2 linked regions of the Caenorhabditis elegans genome follow. The protein of the gene in region 2 interacts with the protein of the main gene of each other region in a pairwise test. Each region holds a gene or a part of one and is shown on either strand. Other genes may lie near its edges.

The links.
Region 1: the proteins of cth-2 (region 2) and DH11.2 interact in a two-hybrid assay, tested with the Caenorhabditis elegans proteins (one large-scale study listed by BioGRID).

The regions. Positions count from the first base shown.
Region 1 is NC_003280.10:8,010,710-8,014,467, reverse strand, and holds the start of DH11.2 (F-box domain-containing protein), read right to left. Parts: upstream 1,653-3,758; 5' UTR 1,634-1,652; coding exon 1,511-1,633; intron 1,061-1,510; coding exon 925-1,060; intron 875-924; coding exon 779-874; intron 734-778; coding exon 204-733; intron 1-203. Other genes in the region: glna-2 (Putative glutaminase 2), read right to left, coding at 3,068-3,166, 3,313-3,690, 3,741-3,758.
Region 2 is NC_003280.10:7,056,121-7,059,878, forward strand, and holds cth-2 (Putative cystathionine gamma-lyase 2), read right to left. Parts: upstream 1,841-3,758; 5' UTR 1,824-1,840; coding exon 1,749-1,823; intron 1,701-1,748; coding exon 1,079-1,700; intron 678-1,078; coding exon 196-677; 3' UTR 64-195; downstream 1-63.

The DNA.
Region 1 (3,758 bases), 950 kb from region 2:
AATTCCGTTTATGAATATCGTAATTTCACATATTTCTGAAACGCGAACTTAAAGGCGTACGGATTTATACGGATGGGCCTCGTTGCGAGAAAAAATGTACCATAAGTTTTCTCGCGGCGAGACTCAACCAAAAAGCCTTTCAGCACACCTTTCATAAATATTTGTAATTAAGATACCGATCAATAGATCTTAACAAAACTAACTTTAAATTCCGGGAACATATAAATGGTTCTTCTTCCATGGGCCATGACCAGCATGTACGGTGAAGCTTTTCGTTTATCGACCAATTCCAATTGATTTATTTGCAATGATAAGTCCATCATAGTTCGAATGTAACAAATGAACATCTTATTACGGTATCTATTCAAATTTGCAGGACCAGACCATCCTTGACCAGTAGTTGTATTATCACTAAGTCGTATATTCCATACAGTCAATTTATAAGATATTTCTTTCAAGAAACGTAGAAGTTCTCTGAATCCAGCACAAGTGACATCTTCATTGTCGGAAAGTACAATATCAAGATTTATTTCTTGAAGAGTTTTGCAAAGCGAAGATGAAGCTTTTAAGTTTTCAAAATTATGTGACAAAGTCAATCCACCACATTCTGCTCCTATTTGAATTGTCAACTTTGTTAGATTCGTGAATGCAACTCCAGGTTGTGGATGACGGAAGTTACAAGCTGTTCCACTAGTTGCCGCCAAAAATGAATGTTTTTCGAGAAGATGTTGAACTGAAATTTGCAGAAAATAAACTCCAATTATTCATTGAAACGTACTGTGTGAAAACAAAGAAACTGGAAGAACAATATCCTCCACTTGGCAGATGTATTTCTTAATCAATAGAATCAAGAATTTGTCAAATTTTTTGAGATCTGAAAAGAACACTTGAAATGTTTTTAAATTTTTCTATTCAGCTAATTACCGTAGCAACTGCGAGTTGTTTGATACAGTTCCCATACTGGATCATGAAGTGCACAATAATATACTTTTGAGCACAGAGTTCGATGGACAAAAGTACCAAATGAACGACTCACTTGATCCCAACCATAAGCAACTAACTGAAAAAAGAATATACAATTATTAAAAAAATACATAAATACTTTGGTATTTTCAATGAACAAACTGATTTCGCTCTAACAAATAAAATATAATAACGATTTAAGTTGACAATTTTTTTTCTATTTTATTCAGGTTACCTTCACTCAGATCCGAGACTTATCTCGCGTGTTCTTCATTTCCATGAGATTTGCCCCAGACTCAAGAATATATCAATAAATAAATATTGAAAGAAAAAGGTTTTTATTTTCAACATTTTCCCAAATAGGCCCTAGTTATATTTCAAAGAATTTCTGCATCACATCAAAAAAATTAAAAATTGAGAACTGTAAGTCAATACTGAGGCACTGGGCTTCAAGACCATACATCAAAAATGGTACAACGATATTGCAAGATAGTCACTTTTCAAATTGGAAAAAATATACAAAAGAAGTATGATAAGAAAAACTGACCTCTGTTGGAAGAACTTTGGATACAATAATTTCAATAATTTCATCTGGAAGTTGTGGTAAATCAGATGAATCTTGAACACGAACCACTGGAAGACGTACACAACGACACCGATTACGTGACATTTTGAACGAAGTGACCAATCTGAAGAGAAATGAAGAATAACAAGAAGAAGAAGAAGAAGAATACGAGGAGCCGATTAAAAATTGTAACATAGAGAAAAGAGACGCAGAGAGAAGGACGAGCCATGGCCAACTGTCAAAAACATTTTACCCCCACTTTTTATTTTGAAAAACAAGTCAAGATTCAACCGTAATTGTTCTTTTGAAGTTTCACAGCAATCAGTAGGGACCGACTTTTATATGAACATTTCTTTTAAAAAGTGAGAAATTGTTAGATGTACATCTTTCGTGATGAACAAATAAACATGTGAATTAAACAATGAATCCACAGTTCAATTTGTGAACTTGTGGTCTTCCTCCCTTTTATACCGATTATATTTTCTCCGCCTTTATTTGCAATTGAAATTGAATTAAAAATAAGATTTAATTGAAAGTTGCCAATGTAATTCAGCTGACTCTTCAGGATATTTGATAAAATTCAATAAAAATAGACGAAACATTCTAACGAATCAAAGAACGAACGAAGTGGAGTAAAACACAAACAAATAGTTGAGGAGGCAAAACGAGATGGGTCATGTGAACGAAAAGTGGGCGATTTTAAAAGACCGATGTGTGATTTTGTGCAAAATATTTGTCTTATCTAGGTGCATAGAGTACCAACGTTTCTACTGACTAAAACGGCTAAATAACAGCACAGCAACTTTTTTTGCTTTATAAAATTCCACAAAATCAGCTTTTTTCAGTTTTGCCGGAACAAGTTGAAGTAAACAATTGTAAATTGAAACACAAATTGTGGAAATAAAAATTGTTTGATCTGTCTATAGGAAAATTGGGTCAGAAAAAAAAGTTGAAAACAATTTTTAACTGAAACTTTCGTCATGTACTTTGTCAAAATTGTTTAGAATGAAAATAACAAATTAGAAAAGATCACGAAACACTATAAAACAAAGATAAGATAAAAGACTACTCGGCATTCAGAGGCAACTTCCTGCCATAGTGGCACTAAATAAGTTGCCAAAGTGTGGCAGGAAGTTGCCTCTGAATGCCGAGTAGTAAAAATTAAAATGCGTACTTTATAAGAGCATACATTTTATCAATTGTTTTCTTTTTAAGCCGAAATAGCTTGGCATATTTTAGTTCTGAAATTTCATTCATCACATCAAAACACACATTTCAAAAATTCAGGAACAATAACAAATCTCGATCATTGTTTGAAATATTTTATTATATAGGGTAGAAATTGTTTAGAACTATGTGAAAAAAACAAATCAAACGATAGAAAGATCTTAATTTACGTTGTTTGATTTTTGGAGGTCAAACGTATCACTCAATATGTTCACAACCATATGATGTTTTTAGAGGGGAAAAGAGAGAAGAGAAACTAACAACGTCATATTCATTGATTTATGCAAAAGTTATGGAACTATTCAAAAATAACTAATCAATTGTAAAAGAAGGCTTCTCTGGAAAACCATCATCATCAATCTCATCGTCTGTATCCAATGAAGAAACTGAATCTTTTCTGTGTTGCTCTGGCTGAAATAATTATTTGTATTACACAGCTCAACAATAGTGCGAGAAATAGTTTTTTTGAAGTCACTATCGTCTTTGGAAACATTGATAGAGTTCAGCCAAAAAGCGGACAGTTATGTATTCTTTCACGTTGTTTCTTCTAAACATACCCGTTTCATTGCTTTTTCTAAAAATCTAGAAACATGGTCATGTTTAAAGAATTTAGCTTCATCCAACGGAGTCCGTCCCCAACGATCTTTCTTATCCACATCAACCTTTGCCACATTAACCAGGAATTTGATCATTGTCTCATATCCTTCAGTAGCTGCAATATGCAAGACTGTTCTATCATCGTGATCAGAGGTATTCAAATCTTCTCCTTGCATATACAATCTTCTCATTGTTGGGAGATCCCCAGCTCTTGCCACGTGGAAAACAGGGATTAATCGATCACGCTCTCGAATGTCTCTTCTTCTTGGATCACTTTTAATATTGGAGTTATGAACAAGACAGTCATAATTGTGAAAGTTGAAAGTGGAAACCAGTTTCTAAAATGTTAAATTTTTACTTTATACTATTATGGAACACAATAGCAAACCTTGCAGAATGCAACACC
Region 2 (3,758 bases):
GCAAAATATCATGTTATGTATTCCAATTTCTGTTTCGAATAACAATTATCATTTTTCATAGAAAAAATTTATTGGATAGTGTAAGACACAATTTGAGTCGATTAGTTAGAGGTTGTGGTGGAGACGAGTGGGCAATTAAAACTAGTACCGGCTTTCAGATTTGAAACAAATGCATATCATAAAATGATTGAAAAGTTATACTTTTGGAATGGCAATCTTCAAAGCTTGATCCAAATCAGCAACCAAATCATCGAGATCTTCAATTCCAACAGAGATACGGATAAGGTTATCAGTGATTCCAAGAACAATTCGAGTTTCAGCAGGCACTGAAGCATGAGTCATGATAGATGGAAGCTCGGCAAGTGATTCATATCCTCCAAGAGATTCAGCCAAAGTGAATACTTTGAGAGCAGAAAGGAAAGCACGACTCTCTTGAAGTTCTCCTTTAAGATAGAATGAGATCATTCCAGACATTCCCTTTGTTTGTTTCTCATGAACTTCATGTTGTGGATGAGATGGAAGAGCTGGATAGAGAACTGATTCGATACGATCATTGGCTTCAAGGTATTTGGCAACAGCAAGAGCATTTTCATAGTGAGCTCTCATTCTGATGTGAAGAGTTTTGAGTCCACGATTAACAAGGAAGCAATCAAATGGAGATGGGACTGCTCCGACGGCTGAAAATAATAGCATTAAAATTTTGAGTTAACGATTAATTTAGCTATCCAATGAGATTTTAAACAGTTTTATAATTTTGCGACATTTGACTCAAGGTACATGTTCTCGATATGAGCGAAACTTTGCTTCTACAGTACCCACAAGTATTTAGCAATTTTTTTTATAGTTCCAATGTATTTTATATGATTTCTAAAGCAGAGAAACTGATTTCTTTTCTAGAAAAACACGAAGAAATTAATATTGAAATTCAGTGAAAACCGTTAAGAAAAAATTCGAAGCACTTGCGAATACAGTAGCTGCCAAGTTTCACTAGCTTCAAGACCGGTTACCGTATCTATGCCTCAAAATGACAAAATTATACGACTAGATTTCACTGCGTACAACAGCACAGTAAACTAACCAAGTTGCATGAAGAAAAGATGTTGTTGGAACTCGTCATTATCAGTGATAACAGCACCCATAACAACATCAGAATGTCCATTAATATACTTGGTAATTGAATGAACGACAACATCCGCTCCAAGAGAAATTGGGCGTTGGAAGTATGGAGACATGAAGGTATTATCAACAACTACAACAATTTCTGGATTGGCTTTCTTTGCAGTTTGGACCACTGCGGCAATATCAACAACCTTCAAAAGTGGGTTAGATGGAGATTCAAACCAAACCATCTTGGTATTTGGTTTGATTGCTTTCTCGAGATTCTGAACATCCGTCAAATCAACCGAATCGACTTCCAATCCGTGATTAGGAACAGCAACACGGCGGATATATCTTTGAGTACCTCCGTAGACATCATCAGAGCACACAATATGATCTCCGTACTTGAGAAGATTGATGATTGCGGAAGTTGCGGCAAGTCCTGAAGAGAACACTTGGCAGTGTTTTGCGTCTTCGAGAGCAGCCAGATTCTTTTGAAGAACATCACGAGTTGGGTTTCCAGCACGAGAATAATCGTGTCCCTTTGGCTCTCCTGGATTATCCTGTTTGTAGGTCGAGGACAAGCTGATTGGCGGGACCACCTGAAAAGTATCAGTTCAGTATTTATATTCAGAATACCTATGACAAACCTGATTCATATCCCATTGCTCTGGTTCTTGTCCAACGTGGATAGCAGCAGTTCCGAAGTGTGGGAAAGTAGCCATTTTAATCTTGAGACAGGCTGCAATAAGAAGACTGATGTCGAGAAATGATAATCAAATGGATTTATAAGTGTGAGAGAAAGAGGAGAGAAAAGAAAAAAGAACGAATGAAAGGGGCGGGGTCAAACGAAGGGTCGGTCGACACGCCGAAAGTTTCAATGAAATCGTTAAAGAAAAAAACGTTCTTGACATTGGTCAAAAAGACGTTAATCTTCTATTATTTTTAGATTTTACAGAATGTAGCTGATTAGGCAAACAAGATGTTAAAAACGGAAGAAAAGAAGAAAAATAAATAGTGATGTGCAAAGAAGGAATGAACAATGTTTGATACTATTGAATGATGTACACATCTGGAATAAACACTCTTATCAAATCTCCAAACGAGACCATTTTGCAGAAAAAACCGGATATGAGAAGAAGCGTGGGAAATTGAGAAATTTGAAAAATAAAAGATAAGATTAACGACTGATAGGTGGCGTATTTTTCATACTTCAAAAAATAATATGTATTTGGCACAAGTTTGGTAATAAATTTGACATTTCTGGGGATTCTGTGGTGTTTTTATATGTTGGTTAAAAACAATTTTTATTGCTCAAATATGGTTTTTTCGTGAACAGCTGAATATTTGTAAATTCTATAGTATTTTTTGAAAAGTTCGGAATTTGAATTGTATAATGTCAAGTCACATTCTACGAACCAGAATCTTAATTTTTAACATGAATTGGCCTAATACTAGTAATAGAAACATTTTAATAGAAACAGAGGTTTCTACAAAAATACATTAATCCTACAGTACCCCGACCCTATCCCTCCCTACTAATATTTGTTTTTATAGTAAAAACTTAAAAATCGTGGAAAATGTTATTTTGATCGACTTCCAAAAGGATAGAAGAGAACTAACTTAAGTAATTACAACGTTGTATAAATAATAGAAATTTCCGAAAACATTTAAGGATGTATAAAAATTTCTATATTTTAGCACCATAAGATGAGTTTTTTTGAAAATCTCCACTGGCTCTGCATACAAACTACAGTAGGCCAACAGTATCATGACAATGTATCAGCTCAAGTTCACAAAGAGTTCTTGCTGCAATTATTTTTTTTTACAAACTATGAAAGTCAGTAATCATAAATGTATTTACTAATGACGATCTTGAAACAAAAGATAACACAGTTTGACGTGACTTACTATTAGAGTTTCCAAAGTCTTGAAGGAATTTTAAATTAACTGAAATCACGTAATTGTGCAGTTTGAACACTATCTTAATGTTTATTTTGTTCCTTCGTTTAGTTGATATAATATTTATCACATGTTACAGTTTTTTTTTTCAAAAAGTTCAAATTCCAGTGCCAATCACCCCACGTGGAGGTCTACCATGTGGTATTTTGTTTGAGAAACATGTCGATGAAATCAAATCCTCAAAGCATCGATTTCTCTATGTCTCGTATCATTTTTTCGTTATCAAAAAGAGAGAAGAATTTGTCTCATTCTCTCGTTGTGTCTACTGCAAACCAGCCACATGTGTGTCTCGAGCAGTTGGACAAAGGGCACCAGAAGGAGAGAGTTCAAGTTCAAAATATCATTTGGAAGAGGCAGATAGGGATTGAATACATAGAAATGATGATAATTGTGACGTGTTTTTTAATTGGCAACCTTGGCGTGGAAAAGATAAGATTTGAGACGACATTTCATTTGCAGGAAGTCTTGAATTTGGAGGAGGAGGAAAAAGAAAGCGAAAGTTTCAATTTATTGATCAATTGCATTTTCTTCTAGATTTAGAAATAGGTAGAGTTGCTACCAGTAGGTTTACATTTTATTGCTTGTGATCAGAAAGCAGGTTTTACCAATTTGCTACTTGAATGAAAAATTAATTTTTTAAATGTATAAGTACCCATAATTTTAGATTAACTAGATTAACTAACTAGATTAATAATTTT